Drosophila melanogaster: one gene and its partner. Each later gene encodes a partner of the first gene's protein in a complex. Each region holds a gene or a part of one and is shown on either strand. Other genes may lie near its edges.

The links. Proteins that work in one complex are often made in the same cells at the same time.
Region 2: Nup44A (region 1) and Wdr59 share a complex: the UniProt entries of both Drosophila melanogaster proteins name them as parts of the GATOR complex.

The regions. Positions count from the first base shown.
Region 1 is NT_033778.4:7,985,102-7,992,856, forward strand, and holds Nup44A (nucleoporin at 44A), read left to right. Parts: upstream 1-3,360; 5' UTR 3,361-3,408; intron 3,409-3,430; exon of another isoform or gene 3,431-3,526; intron 3,527-4,414; exon of another isoform or gene 4,415-4,613; intron 4,614-4,730; 5' UTR 4,731-4,851; coding exon 4,852-4,962; intron 4,963-5,023; coding exon 5,024-5,461; intron 5,462-5,557; coding exon 5,558-5,766; intron 5,767-5,826; coding exon 5,827-6,133; 3' UTR 6,134-6,182; downstream 6,183-7,755. Other genes in the region: ACC (Acetyl-CoA carboxylase), read right to left, coding at 1-350, 501-660. UniProt on the Drosophila melanogaster protein: Probable component of the nuclear pore complex (NPC). Involved in maintaining the localization of another nucleoporin Mgtor to the nuclear envelope of early meiotic female germline cells.
Region 2 is NT_033779.5:11,088,506-11,097,202, forward strand, and holds Wdr59 (WD repeat domain 59), read left to right. Parts: upstream 1-2,938; 5' UTR 2,939-3,061; coding exon 3,062-3,373; intron 3,374-3,436; coding exon 3,437-3,647; intron 3,648-3,703; coding exon 3,704-3,987; intron 3,988-4,047; coding exon 4,048-4,221; intron 4,222-4,276; coding exon 4,277-6,130; intron 6,131-6,257; coding exon 6,258-6,332; 3' UTR 6,333-6,591; downstream 6,592-8,697. Other genes in the region: CG16854 (uncharacterized protein), read left to right, coding at 1-1,914; Ge-1, read right to left, coding at 7,183-7,372, 7,448-7,970, 8,031-8,196, 8,260-8,500, 8,557-8,697. UniProt on the Drosophila melanogaster protein: A component of the GATOR complex, which functions as a regulator of the amino acid-sensing branch of the mTORC1 signaling pathway.

The sequences.
Region 1 (7,755 bases):
GGCCGTGTCATTGGACTCATTTGTTTCGCTCATCTTGCTGATGCTGATGCTGATGTCGATGCTGTTGTTGTTCTGGTTCTTGTTGATGCTGCTGTTGTTGTTGTTCTGGTGGCAGGCAATGCGAATGTTGTCGTTGCTCAGATTGCTGAGTGCGCTATCCTTCAGCTGGTCGCACAGCTCATCCACGTCGGACCGGAGGCTCTCGCTGGAGAACTGGACCTTCTTGATGCACGCCTTGGGGAATCGCTTGTCACTCGCTTTTACCGCCGAAGGAGGTGCTGCTGGAGCAATAGGAGGCTTGCTGCTGGTGGTTGTTGCCGTTGCTGTAGCTGCAATCACGCTGGAGTTGTCTGTAAGCAGAGATAAGGAAAACAAGGTACGCGTGAGTCGTGGTCAAAAGTCGTATACACATAATGAACTAATTAAACTGGGTTATCAGCTAGGTGTGCGATTTGTGTGCCCTTCAAGTGTTTCGGTTTAGCAAAGTGGGGGATTCTTACGATTGGTGTTGCCGTTGTCGCTGTCGCCAGTTGTTGCTGTCGTGGCGGATGTTGCTGCAGACGATTGGACGGGTTTGGATCTTTTCTGGCCGCGGCCAAAGATCAATGTCAAGAGGAATGCGAGAAAAGCAGCCAGAGTGCCTAATATCGTGATCAACATCGGCTAAATCCAAAAAGCTGCTTTAAATCGGTGAATGCAAATCGGATTAGATAATCTGCTATCTGGTGGCCAGCTAGCTGGGTTAGTTTACAGTGTGTAGATAGTGAAAGTGCCTGTGCATCATCTTGTTTCGGATACTTTTCAAGTTCAAAAACCTTGCCACGATATTGTAGGCCAAAGCGGCGAAACAAAACAAAATGAAAATGCTAATCAATGCATTAACTAGTTTGCGAGATACAATTAAGAAACCGAAAAAACAACCATATGAGACCCAAAAATAAATCGTTGCCAGGTCAATGAGGCAGCTGATAAGAGATGTGGTCAACGAATAAGGTATACTCTACGGGAAATTCAAACTAATCTACAGATCAAGCGGGTGACTTCAAAAGTATGCAATAAGTATTTCAAAGTACGTTGTAAAGGCGCAAGTGAATATTATGTTTAGCAACTACGTAATTAGTGACAGGTGTCGAATTACGATTTAATCAACACTATTACACCTGCATATATCACTTGAAAAGTTTCAATCTAAGTACATATCAAAGTTTTCAATATACTATACGAAAATACAGGAGCTCAAGCTGTTTCCGGGTCAAAGATGGCTTCACTACTAAATAATCTACTTTAGATACCCTTTGGCAGGGCGATAAAACTTAAAAACACGAAAATTAATTTCGGATATGAGGTTCAATGTGCAGCGCATTTAAAATTAAAACAAAACGGCGAAGAGCGCGAAGGGAAAATTGAAGAAACTTAAGCTGACAGAAACAAAACCCCCCCAGTTGGTTGGTTGGTGTGAGGAAATGCAAATCGGTGTGGTATGGCCAGCAGAAGAGGTCAATGATTTTGGCATTACAGTATACATGTGTGCACGTGTGTAAGTGTGCCAGCCAGGCGGCGGGCATTGAAAGACACGGAAAGTCGGATTGGACACCGGAATCGATCTCTGGCAACCAGCGGGGTGTTATGTAACCGCTTACTCGGAAATCGCGCAGAGAACTGGGACTTGGGTTACACTCTGCGCTGGAAACGACTCAACAGGTGTGGCCCGGTCCCGTACTCAAGTAGCTCCGTTAGTGCGCACCCTCGCAATGGATGGAGTCTTTTAATTGTGCTTTATTTACCACCGATCCTGTGATAAGAACTCTGCTGGCATTACTCAACAGTCGAAAACAAAAGAATCTTACTCGACGTGCGATTATCTCTAGGGCAGCACTTTTCGGGACCTTGGCTGGATATGATACGGTTGTGTTTTGGGTTTAGTTCGTCTTAGGATTTAGATCTACGGTTTCAGCTCGCTTTACCACTCTGCGTGTGCCCTTGTTTAGCTTGTGATGGCAGTTTCGAAGACGAGGTCGGACCGGATCGGATCGGATTGTAGTAGACCGTGTAGGATCGGTTTGAACTTCCTAGACTGACTGGTTCCGCACGATTTCTAGATGGCTACTGCAGTGACCGACGATTGGAACTCAACTGGGCCATGCTCGTCCGAAAAGCACTATCGATGCCTGAACGCCGCTTCTCCGAACGCGCAGCGGACGCCGACTTCGGCGTCGCCACTATCAATATCAACTATAGCTATAGCTTTGACTACGTCTACGGCCAGGTTTTCGTGCGCGGACCTGTGTTTGTGCGTGTTCAGGTTGTTGCGCTCGTATGTTAATCGCCAGCGGGTCTCGCGGGTCGCCAAGCCAATTGTTGTTGTTGTTGTTGTGTTATTGTTTTGCTTATTGCTGGCTCAGCCAGCGCCAAGTGACCAGGAGGAATATATGTGCACTATGTACTACATAAGAACTACATATGTACAAGGAGCGCCACTAATTCGAACAGAAAGGCGGTCGAATTAAGCGGGGCAACCTGCCGGATTAATAACAATTTTTATGAAGGTGGCTCAAGTAATGACGACCAGTGTGCTCCGTCGGTTTCAGTGATCTTTTTGTGAACCAATTATGCCATAACAATGTCCGAATAAATAAATGCTGGGTACAGTGGCACCAGAGAAATATTTAACAAAATCATTTCTTTATTGTCGTCAGTGATGAATAAGGTTTCTGTATATACCGATTCAACAAGTTCTGGAATAACTACAATGACATTTTGTTTTATATTGGATTTTTTGCGTAGTTTCCAAACTAAAAACTCATAAAAACTAACCATAAAAGCATGCCCTTCCAGCGGCAATCGCAATCAGCTTAACATCAGTGAGTTCCACTATAGGAAAGTTCCACTGTTGCACAGCAATTATACCTTAACGGTCTGCGGCTGATAAAAGATAAGAGCGACATGATGATGGCGATCAGCTGTTGCCAACAACCGTCTACCCCTCTCTGTCACTAGCAGTGCGTCCCGCTCTTTTCTCTTCCATGTATCTCTGTCTCATGGGCGGCGGTAGCTTTTCAATGTCAAGGTCGCCGATGGCATTCGGTACTGCTGTTGTTGTTGTTGCTGCTCCAGCTGGACTTAATCTGGGAGTTGACCCAACCGCTGACGGAAATGCACTCTGCTGCTGGGAGCAGCAAGCAGCAACAACAACGACCATAATTTCTCAATTTGCTGGCGTAAGTGGCAAGCGATGCTGATTAGGGTTAAATGGGCGAAAACGCCAGAAATTGATTAGCGCGATGCACTTGAATCGAATTATTATTAACGAATTCAGTGCGCTGCCACGAGCAGAACACGCGAACGCCGCTGATTTGTTTTCATTCCGTGATGCTCGCTGCTCCCGGCATCAGCAGAGGTTTTTTAAAAGTCATAAAAGAAATTCCCGACGCGACGCCCGCTTTAATCTCAGATAGGCGGCGAGTGCCTGAAAAATCTTCCGATTTCGGCATTGGCCTTGGCGACCGATTATGATTAATACTTAACGGTGACGGGTCTTCATGGTTTCGGCTCGGGCTCAATTCCAAATCTTTCCCGGCATCTTATCGCACGGAAATTTTTGTATTTCGGTGTTCGATTCTGTTCGAATTATTCATGTTTGGCGCGTGGCCAGAAAAAAACCGTCTACTGATATCACAGCCAAATAATAATAGAACCGAAAGTCGGTCGCGTGTGAAACGCCTGATTTCGATGTGCTTATCTCTAGGATTTCTACAGAGCAACAAACAACCGATTTGTGCGTGATAACACACTTGAAATCTTGTAGACACTGTAAAGTGCACGGTTTACAGTTAAATTGTTTTTTAATTTCTTAGCAAAATACTACGAATTTGTAGTGACTGCGTTGGATTGAATTTCCGATTCGAGTCCTTGTGATATGCTCATATTTCATAAATATACTTATATCGTATTTATGCAATACAATACCAACAAGAAATGCAGTCTCCAATTTAGTTCTTATTAGGTAATTGATGCCGGCCGACATACACACACGTTGGCAGCTATGCTGCTCTCTCGCCCATACACACACACACACATACGTCACGGGCATCGCGCGATGTGTAAAATCCAATAGGAATCAAGGTCAGCAGCGAGTGCGCGAGCGAGAGAGGGCGAGCAAGGCAAGACATATTGAGCATATTGCAGATGGAAGCAATTGGAATTTATGCTGCCCATTGCACTTTGATTGAAATCCGCACTTTAGCCAGCGAATTCAAATGCTAAACAAACGCGGGTCCCGATCTACATACGACTATGCTGTGGGGTTGTTCACCCCACTCATTTGCATACACATATGCGCATACATTTCGCTCGGATCGTATCGTATAGGATCGGGCCGTAATTACCCGTTTAGTGCTTAGATTACCGCACTTACTCTTCTCCATCGCACTGCGCTTCGCACGTTTCTTTCGGTTGGCAATTTTGTTGTGTGTAACTGTTCTTTTCCGGGTGCAAAACGGCCTCTTGGCGGCTATTGGAGTCCTGACTCTCCGACTAGTGTGGTTCTCGCGAATCCCGGATGGGCGTGTGGCACGGCTGATACGTTATCAGCTTGTGATCGACTAGAGTACTGTGTTTTGTTATTTTTCGCTCGATTTTTTATTCGTATTTCACGCGTAATTCGGACCACTAACTCGGTGTGACCGTTCGCCTGGGCGTACTGAAAAAATACTGAGCAAGGTAAACAACAGCTGTTCGGCGGCTGTTTGCAAGCCAACCCTGTCTCTCCTTGTAGGGCTGCATTACCGGCGCAGATTTTTCGGCGCGTGCATTTTATAAACAACATTTCGGTAAATAAGTTGAGTTTTTATCATGTTCGACGTGGAACCCATTATTGCCGACCACAAGGATGTGATACACGACGTGGTCTTCGACTACTACGGCCGCAGGATGGCAACCTGTTCCAGCGATCAGACCGTCAAGGTGAGGACTCGAATTATTCCTACGATAAACAGCCTAGGTGATCCGGATTTTCTGCTTGCAGATTTGGGACGAGGATGGGCAGGGCAAGTGGAATGTCACGAGCAGCTGGAAAGCGCACTCCGGCTCCATTTGGCGCGTTTCCTGGGCGCACCCGGAATTTGGCCAGGTTGTGGCCACATGCTCATTTGATCGCACCGCCTCCGTTTGGGAGGAGGTGATTGGCGAAAAGGTATCCTCCACCAATACCCCCACTCGCCGCTGGGTGCGCCGCACCACCCTTGTAGACTCGCGGACCAGTGTCACGGATGTGGAGTTTGCACCCAAGTACCTGGGACTCCTGCTGGCCACCGCCTCCGCCGACGGCATTATTCGCATCTATGAGGCCCCGGACATTATGAACCTCTCGCAGTGGCCCGTGCAGCACGAGATTAGCAACAAATTGCCGCTGAGCTGTTTGTCCTGGAACACTTCCACTTACATGGTCACCCAGCTGCTGGCGGTGAGTATATTTAAATTCCAAGTCTTAGTCTATTAAGGATTAATTCTATTATCTGTGGAGTAAGAATAAGCCTAATTTTCATAAATTATTTTGCAGGCGGGCAGCGACGAGGCAGCCACGCCTACTGGCAAGGTCTTCTTATTCGCCTACAGCGAGAATTCCCGAAAGTGCGTTAAAATCGATACTGTCAATGATATAACCGATCCGGTCACGGATGTGGCCTTTGCTCCAAATGCCGGACGCACCTTTCACATGCTGGCAGTGGCCAGCAAGGATCTTTATATTGTGAACTTGCGGGGTGTAACGTAAGATCGACAATTTAAAGACCCAAAATCATTTAATAATAATAATTTTTATAATTAAAGGGACGCCACGGACATCTCCAAGTTGGACATCCAGACCATTAAGTTTAGCGAGCACAATTGCCCAGTGTGGCGCGTCTGTTGGAATATGCTGGCCACGATGCTGATCTCCACGGGCGACGACGGTTGTGTGCGTCTGTGGCGAATGAACTACAACCGGCAGTGGCGCTGTGCCGCCGTCTTGAAGGCAGAGGGCAGCGGACCCACCTACGAGCCTGCTCCGCCCACTCCGACACTGGCCACTACCGCCTCGGCCACGGCCAAGTTCTACAAAAAGGGCACCATCGGCAACCAGGTGCCGTGGCACTGATCTTGTTCTTAATTGTAAGAGTTCCGAATAAATTCCTAAGTTAAACCTCAGCCGCTTGCCTTTCAATATGAGTGGTTTTCTTTAGTTATGTTTAGAGTTCACGGTATTAATGTTAATGTTATTAATGAAGTGAACTATCAATGGGTTTACGCATTATTCAATCGTTTTAAAGATTCCGTGGAACGATAATTTTCTAGAAAAATATTTTTGATTAAACTTTATCTTGGTGCCACCATGAACCAAACTTATATCACTGTGCGGAATAGTCCACGTAGTGTTCGTCGCGCACCAGAAGACACAACGAATCTTAGTAGTCCCGAATCATGAATCAATAAATCTACTCGGTTATTGTCGGATTGTACGTTTTGCTATAAAGTTGGAATCGCATCATTTGCGTAATTCGTGGATACTTCCCATACGAAATGGGTCTAAACGAATATTCGGAAGGCCTGTGTGTTTTGATACCACCACTTACATCTCGGATTAGAAGCCGGCATTCTTGCGAATCCAATGAATAGCTTTCTGGTCCACATTTCCCCAGTTCAGTGTTCCTCAGATCGCTTTTCCTAGGGCATTTTCGCGTTACATCACAAAACGTGGAGCTCTCAATGCTCCAAAGTGCCAGAAACTAATAAAAAAACAATGGGATGTTACTTCAACTTCTGCCTGCCGGCTGGCAAACTAGAGCAACTATTGATTTTGGACAACTTCCCGAAAGGCGAAGAATCAAAACAGAATTAAAGTTCACACAACGAGAAAGAGCGAGCACTAGAGATAGTGACTATAATGGCAAGCACTCTCCATACGGTCACATGTGTGTGTTTGAGGGAGAGCGGCAGATCTGATGTGCTAGCTATTTTAAAAAACCCCATGGCACAGGCCAAATCCGAGATAGATCCATCCCATTCGAGTGGGTCGGGACCAGCAGAGGTGAGGAGGAAAAGGCATTTTCGGGTTCAGTGGTTGCATTCAAATCGATTTTATTGAGATTTATTTATGGGCTATGTATTCTCGATTAACTCCTCACACGGGAGTACATAAATGGATCATAAATCCCTTTCAAGTGCACTTCCATTTACATTCCATCCACATGTGCATAAATTAACTAGGACGCCGACAAGTGCCCAAAAACAGGGTTTTTATTATGTTTAACACGGAAAAGCATTCAGAAATGTCGCGAAATATTCCACTTAATTGACTCGAACCGCAATAAAAACGAAATCATCGCACTTTCGATGACACCACAAAACTATAATAATAATAATGATATGCAACCACCCCTCCGCGGGCTTCGTCCTTGCGATCCTGTTGCTCTGCTGGTAATCCAAAGAATGAAATCCGTCCGACCAGCTCGATGGCTTTTGTAGTCACCGATGAAACCACCCCGGTTCGGTATCACAAGTTCCCTGTCCCAGATCCGAATGATTGTCTCTAATTGGAAGTTTTGACGTGTGTATTACGTCGAAGGCGATGGTGTTGACGCCGATCTCTGGGCCAGGACGAACCACCCCTGTCTGGGGCATATTGTAATCGCTGGTGGGTGGTGGTTGCGCTGCTCGCCGCGTGGGAAGTCAAAGCTCAGGGGTCTCTCACATGGTCGCGAACGTGGTAGGTCGCCCGAA
Region 2 (8,697 bases), on another chromosome or scaffold:
GACTACAATCTGAGGACGAAACTACTTCGTTTCCGTGATGGATTCGATTTTATGGCCCGCATCGAGGACCACTATGGTGGAAATGTGACAACGGCCTATTTCGTTGACACGACGGGCTGCCGGATGCCACACTTTGAGGTCAGCGACGACACCATTGCCCAGTTCATTTTCAAGCCACGTCCGTACAGCTGCAACAGAGCTCTGATCCGGACGAGCGACACAATTCCCGGACAGCTGCATCTCAATCTGGAGGCCAGTGAGCTGCTCGCATACTACAACATCAGTGACCTGTCCTCCGTTAATTGCAACTATACGGAGGTGAAGCGCAAAACCGATTCTAGTAACACCCACAGTCCGGCAGTGAGTTTTAAGCTGGACAAAGTTATGAAACTGCCTCTCAGCTCGGAGTTCATTTGCATGTGGTGCTATGATTCACTGGACAAACTCTTCTACAAGGACTGTCATTTTTTTGCAGTCGATAAGCCAAGGATTAGGCCCCCACTTAAGACTGGAACCGATAGGGTGAGCTTCAACAAGAGCAAGGAGGAGCAGGAACGGCTATCCGTAATGATACTCGGCATGGATAGCCTGTCGCATCTAAATTTCCTGCGCCAGATGCGCCGCACAGCGAACTACGTCCGTAAGCATCTGTCCCACGTGGAATTTTGGGGCTACAACAAGGTGGGCGACAATACGTTTCCCAATCTCGTGCCCCTGCTAAGTGGCCTGGATGATCAGGAACTGAATCTGGCCTGCACGCCAAAGACATTGCGATCCTATGATAGGTGCTCATTCATTTGGAAACGCTACCAGCAACTGGGTTATCGCTCCATTTTCGCCGAGGATGTGGCAATGCTCTCGGCATTCAATTACAATCAAAATGGGTTCCGAAAGCAGCCAACGGATTATTATCTGCGACCCATGATTATGGAAATGGAAAAGACTGTGGCCTTCAAGAAGGACCTCAACATGCACTTGTGCATGGGCAGCCGGAGGACGGCGGATGTGCTGCTCGAGTATATGAAGAAATTGGTGCCACGAATGAGCAGGGATCTTTACTTTTCATTTTTTTGGACGGTGGCCCTAACCCATGACTATTTTAATTTCCCCTCACTACTGGATGAGGCCATGTTGCAACAGTTGATGCAGCTGCAAGATTCCGGATTGCTCAATCGCACGGTGGTAATGTTGCTATCCGATCACGGACTGAGATGGGGTTCCTTTCGTCGTACCTACCAGGGCATGATGGAGGAGCGCCAGCCCCTAATGATGCTTTTGTATCCGCCATGGATGACCGAGCGTTATCCGGAGGCAATTGCCAATCTTAGGTTAAATGCCCGCCGGCTAACCACACCATTTGATGTGCACGCGACAATGTTGCAGCTGCTAAATCTTCACAATCTGGAGGCAGATCAGTTGCAACGCAGATCAACAGAGATGGACGAGCCGGATAGCACGCTGCCCAGAGGCATTAGCCTATTCCTGCCCATCCCGGCTGCTCGGACCTGCGAGCAGGCAGGGATTGCCGCCCACTGGTGCACCTGCCATCAGCGCCAGGAGCTGCAGACAAACGATCCACGTGTCCAGCGGGCGGCGCGCTATCTGGTACGCTTGATCAATAACCGACTGAAGGATAGCTCACAGTGCAGAACCCTATACCTGAACTCCATACTCCAGGCTCTGATTGCAGCGCCGCACTCGAAGATTGTGAAGAACATTTCCACGGACTACGCAGTGGACATCACCCTGCGACTGCAGACGAAGCCCGGGCTGGGTGTGTTTGAGTCCACGGTGCGGATGACGGGCTATACGACCGTACTAACGGGCACCATTAGTCGTCTGAATCTGTACGGAAGCCAGAGCTACTGTCTCAACGATCCGGCGCTAAAAATGTTCTGCTATTGCCACAGATAAGGCAATGGCAATGTAACTGGGAGCTTTCGGGGATGGGGAGGATGTGTTTGACGTCAAAGACTTGAAACCCATTAACGTAGCCTTAGCCATAAAACCTAGTTTATTTCTATGAAATAGCCAATGTTTGTATAAAAATACTTATCCAATTTTAGCCTTTGCCGTAAGGAGTTCCCAGTCTTAGGCACCTATGTAGTCACGGTAGTTGAGCGGAATTTGTTTATTTCCCACTAACTTAGAGGACAATAAACTGAATGAACTAATAATCGTAATAACCGCAGAATTACTTTGTGTATGTAAAATAAATGATAAGCTATTACTGACTAGGGAGGGAAGTGGCGAACATATAAATAAATAATAGTATCCAAAATATGTAGCACTTAATGTTGTAGACCATAATTGAGTTGTTATATACATATATAATGCACTTTTTGTTTAGTATCTCATGATTTATAGCCTTATGCTGAGTTAATAAATGAATAATAGGATGAACTTTTTATAAATGAGTCAATTGGGAATATCCCTTTCTAGTTACAAATTTATTTAGATGCTAAATTATATTTAGCCACGTACTTTAATAATTTTCATAACATTTATGAACCAATGCACATGTATATTTTTGGTGATTGACAATTTATAAAATGTAATAAATCTATAAAAAAAATCGAACGTTTTTATTTAACAAGACCATATATATAAAATTATAAATTTTGCTCTGAGCTCGTTTACCTGTTTTATATCATAAATTCAAATCCCGATAGCTATAACCACAATTTTATCGATACTATCGAAAAAACAACATTTTCAGCTATAGTTGTGCTGTCGTTATTCCAGCTAGATTTATGGGTGTTACAAACTTTTGCGACAAAATATTAGGTACAATTTTTTCATATAATGTTCTAGTTTAATTTTGTAATTTTTTTAATATATTATCAAAAACTATAGCAACAGCATTATTGAAAAATAGCCAGCTTAACGAGGTCCTGGAAATTCATTTGTCGGAAAAAATGCTTAATTGCCAACACAGACGCCTGTTGTTATTGTCTATCGTTCTTATCAGTTCAGTTTCTTCGTTTAATTTTTGTTTGTTGCAAAAATGGTTTAAATTCGCAGTCTTTTGCTTTTTGAGCACTTATTAGAGTAGGACAATATGCCGCCCACGGAGACACTGCGTCCGGGAGAACGCGGAACAGCCGGTGGACCGGGAGCAGGAGCACCCGAACAAACGTACATCGTCAGGCAGAGCAACAAATACTATGAACACCGAGATTCCCAGGCCACGGCCATGTCGGTTGATTACTCGGGTCAGTGGGTGCTCCTCGCGGGCCGTGGTCACCTGGCTTTGCAGCGTTTGGGACAGGACGATGGGTCTCTGCGACGACATGAACGGCAATCGAAGTACGAGGTGTCCGTAGCAGAGTTTGCCATATGTCCCAGTCGCAAAGAGTACTGCGCCATAGCGGTAAATACATAAAGTTATCTACGTATAGGCGGCGTTTATCCCAGTTTGACCTTTGAATTTCAGACTAGCCAGCACATAGACATCGTTCGCTGGGGCACTGCGGAACCACACTACGAGATGTCCTTGCGTGGGCATACTCGAACAGTGACCGACATTGACTGGCACGGCAAGGATCCGAATCTGCTGGTCAGCTGCTCAATAGACACATTTTCTCATATTTGGGACTTAAGGGAGCCCAGGAAACCAGCCCTGTCCTTGAATGCCGTGTGCATGTGTAAGTTTCTACAAAATAATTTCAACTTTTTTATATTATATTTAAAATTCTTTCAGCTGGTGCTACACAAGTGGGATTCAACCGCGTTTCGGGCAACCTTTTGGCTGCTGCCCATGATGGAGATTTACGCATCTGGGATATTCGCAAGGGTAGTTGCCCGACGCACTATATCACAGCACATTTAAATAGAGTGCATGGCATCAATTGGAGCCACAAAAGGGAGACCTGCTTGGCAACCGCCAGTCAGGATGGAACGGTCAAGTACTTTGATGTATGTAATCCTCGCAGGGCCGAGAAGATCATTACAACCATGTCGCCCGTTTGGAGAGCGAGATACACGGTAATTTATATTGGTTTATCAATATTGATTGCTATTCTAAATACATCTTGTTCCATACAGCCTATTGGCAACGGTCTGGTTAGCATTGTGGTGCCCCATTTGGGACGCGGAGAGAATAGTTTGCTGCTCTGGAGCAACAGCAAGCAAACGGACCCTATTTGTTCCTTCGTGGGGCACACCGATGTCATTCTTGACTTTGCCTGGCGTCCAAATCGTGAAAGTTCCAATGAAATAGTAAGTATTTTAAAGATACCACAATGTTCTTACTTATGCATTGAGCTTTAATTAGGAACTGGTCACTTGGTCCAGGGATCGCACGCTGCGGGTGTGGAAGATCGATGATAATATGCTAAAGCTTTGCGAACCGTCTGCGGAAGAAATAGAATCCCGTTTCGAGCCCGATCTCAGTGAGTTAAGAGTGCCTACTCCTCCAGAATTCCTGCATCCACGATCAATTTTGGTTGCCGCTTCGTTGCCCATATCCACGGGTGACGGTGCTTGTAATACCTTGCCCATGGCTCGCTCCCCGAGCTTTGGAGGTGGCTACTATCGCAGGGAAGAGCCCCACATAGCCAGATCACTAACAGATCAACCCACGTGTTCGCTGCACCACGAATTCTCGCTGCTCAACACAAACATGCCTCATGTGGAGGTAGACACACTAGATGCCATAAAGCGGTACGCCTGCTTCAAGATTTGCGCCGGTGGACACACGGTTATTTTACAAGTGACTTTCACGACATCGTATCCAAGTCCTAGTGCTCCGCCGGACTTTCAGCTTTGCCAGGGAACCACTCTGTCCAGTGAAGTTAGTGGAGTTCTGCTAAAAGTGCTCCGTTGCAATGCATTGCAACGGGTCAAGAAATCCCGCACGTGCCTGGAACAATGCCTACGTGCTCTAGTGGCGGCTATGAAGAAAAAGGTGGCCGCTGTAGGCGGAGCGGATCGTAGCCAACTGCTCCTGCAATCCCCTCGGCTGGAAGGAGCTTTGTCGAGCACCCTGCACGATGCCTGCATTCCATATCCGCGGACGTCAGGGGTCCATTTCAATGCCATTGGTATGCTGACCACTTTCGCCCAACCAGTGAACAACAAAAGGCTGACCCTGCGGCAACACACCGCATTGACTCCACGGACTTTTTCATCGATTAATGGTAGTGGATTGCTAGGCAATGTGATGGCCACCGCCCAGAGGGAAGCTAACGCCTCCTTTTACCTCCAGGAGAGGATGATTTCGGGAAAACCGGGCAAGCAGCGAGCCATCCGACAGATGAATGGAAGTCCGGTGGTTCACGTATACGACACAAGTAGCTTACTCCACATTAGTCGGAGAATGGCTCGGGAGTTCTCCCTCGATAAGTGCAACATAGCAGAAACGTGTCGTAAAAATGGTGAGATCTGTCGCCAGCATGGGCGCTTGGACTTGGTGCCCGTGTGGCTATTGGCGGAACTGATAGCCACACCCCAAATTCCACATGAAACACTCAACGATCTGCTGTTCTACAAAGATCCCTTCAAGAAATCTCTGCTGGAATCACTAATAATGCATTATGCTATCTCCGGTGACATACAGACTGCTGTGCTGCTGGCTTGTTTGTTTGACAAGTGCCCCACGGGTGGCGGTGCCATTATGGAGAAGACAGTTCGACTTCCGCCGCAGCTTAACTCGCAAATTTCACCGTATCACACGGTCCTGCCGCTTGACGTCAAGTCATCTTCTTCATCGAACACTTGGCAGCAACTTAAGCAACTACGCAGCAACTCTTGGTCCGACTCCCTGGATTTGGAGATTAAGCAAATCCAGTCTGATGCATACGCTTGCTCATTGATTAGACGGACTAAGATGCCACTGTTTGATCAATTTAAGCGCGCCTATGCCGAAATTTTATTTGGCTGGCAGTTGCTTTCGAAGCGGGCTTTGATCCTCAAGCACACGCAGAATACACCACCTCCAGTCCAGGGTGTGGAATTCGTTACCGAGTGCAGGAAGTGTGCCAAGCCCAAACGGACGCCCAAATGCGAGCCCTGCAAGCGACCCGTACTCTTCTGCGTCCTCTGCCGTTTGCCTGTGAAAGGAGCAGCCAATGCGTGTCTGGCTTGTGGCCATGGCGGTCACATTGATCACATGATGCAGTGGTTTGAGGTTGGTATCTATTTGAGTTTGATTCGACTGGTTTCTTTTTCACGAACCAAACGATGTATGGATTTGGATTTATGGATTTATGGATATAAATATATTCATGTTTGCTATTTTCTTGTTTAACTTTCAGAAACACAATGTCTGTGCTACGTGTGGCTGCAAGTGCTTGGAGCGCACCTCAGAGCTGCTAGCCCTACTCAGCTGATTCAGACCTTGAGTGATGTGCATTCCTTTCAAAAATAATCTTACTTAACTTTCTTTCGTCTGTGTGGATATCAAAATAGTTAGGTGTTTTTTAGTCATTAGGCCAACAATTTTTGTACGATTTGCATACCATTGAGAAATATATGACCACTTACTAGCCAAGCTAAGGGTAAAAGCTTTATGCAACTATACACTTAACCAAAATCATATGGTTACGATAATTCAAAAAGAACTGTTTCTAGATTTTTTCAAGTACATACATTTATTCTTTTTTATTATCGACTTTTGCTTTCTGTTTTTTTTTTTTTTTTTTAGCTTAAATTCTACGATTTACTTGTAGTTTTTGCATTTGCAATCTAATAATTTTTTTGTTTTGTCCGTCATAATAAAGTTTGCTTTAGTTTTGAAAATAATTTTTAAATAAGTTTCTACAGCTCCTATTCTTGTTTTTGTGTGTTTTCTTTTGTTCATTAAGCGTCATAAAGATAAAAAGGAAAATAAAAGGAACGCAAAAATAAAATAATAAAAAAATATATTGCAATTTAGTAGGCGAATCATTATAAAGATAATACAATTTTGATATAGCGACATAAACATTAGATATACGGCCTTACTATAAACAAATCACGCACAAAACAAATAAACAATAAAATGAAAGGCATAGATTCAATTTCAACTTTTTAAGGGATGAACTTAGCTGAGAGCTTTTTAGCATACTAACTTCTTTTTGGACTTAACTACAAGCGTGTATTTATAAATGTGTTTGTGGTCATAGATTAACTATCTTGGATGGGGATCGGATGGGTAATCTATCAAAACCAGCCACTGGCCAGGTTATAGTTCTCTTGATATCATTTTAGCTGATCGCGGTACGTTATGATTGCCTTCATCAGCAGACGGACGTTGCTGAACTGCGAATTCTTGGGGCTGTTCTTAATGAACTGCTGACAATTGCGATACAGCTCGGTGAGCACTTTAGGAGCGTGCTCGCGGGTAATGGGATCTGCCATATTGATGGCCAACAGTGCCTCGTTGAGATATCTACAAATGAAAAAGGTACATCATCAATGTAATTCTTTGTAATGTTTTGTTACTTGTTTAGTTCTCCTAGCTCACCTCTGCTTAAGCTCATTGTGATTGGTCATGTCAGCGGATATTTGCTGAATGAGCGACAGTAGAACCTTTTGCTCCAGTCTGCATCCCTCTGGTGCGAATGCCTGGTTGCTGTCCGTGTGTCGGAGAGTGAACTCCACTAGGCCCAAGTCGTTGGCCAATAGAGCCTGATGGAAGGCCTTGTTGATTTGTCCAGCCATCAAAAGCTGCTTAATGCTGTCCCTGAGGTCGTAAGGTGGTGCAGGCGTAGCTGCCTGCGAACGCATTGCCACGTTCTGGGCTTCCATGTGCTTGCGTAGCTCTGCTCTGATCGTTTCCTGTACCTGACGCGCCAGCAAAATCTCTAAGCTCTTCACTTCTCTTTGTGTCTCGAGCATGGCGTCCGTGAGTTCAGTGCGGTGCTTGTGCAAGCTGCTCTCTACCAATTGCTTAAGCATGGACAACTTGTTGTTTATCTCCTCCGTATTGCCACTCCCGGCTTGGGGCTGTGGCATGTGCTGCAGGTAGGTGTTAAACTGGACCATAACTGGAATTCAAAAGAAGGAGCTTTATGTATCCATTATGATTGTAATGATTATATACTAACAGTCTTTTATGCCCACGCTGAAAGCGTCATGCAGTTGTTTAAACATGTTCTGCGAGGACTTCTCATAAGCTGGAATCAAGGTGCTGCTCATAGATTCAATGAAGGCGGTTTGTAGGCTGGTTTGAACACCAATCAACACGGACTTGCCAAAAGTATCCAGAAATTGCTAAGTAATGAAAAAAAAACGCTTAATTATAAGCATTTATAGATGGACTTGCAGATTACGTACCTTGCTCTTGCACACCTGGGCAATATTCTCCTTCACCGTTTTGTCAAACACACTCAGCTTCTGCACAATCTCCACTTGCATTTGGGCTTGGAGCTGATCCATGTTGGCATTCACGCGAGGAAGCAGTTGGCGCTGCAGTTCCATGTTGAGAACGTTGCCAATAATGTCCGTAAAGTGGTTCATGACATACTGATTTAGTACCTGCAGCACGGAGTCACGTAGCTCTCGGTTTTGGCTCTCACTGCAAAAAGTATTCACTTGGATTGTGCCCCGGAAAATTTGTTATATGTATCTTACCGCGCCGCCAAGAATTCCGTCAGTTTCTTCTTATGCTCGTTTTCATATCGCTTGAGATACTGCTCCATTAGCTTGGACAGTTGCATCTCAATTTTATATGCTAGCTGACTAAGATTTTTAGGCTCCAATGAAGTGTCTTGT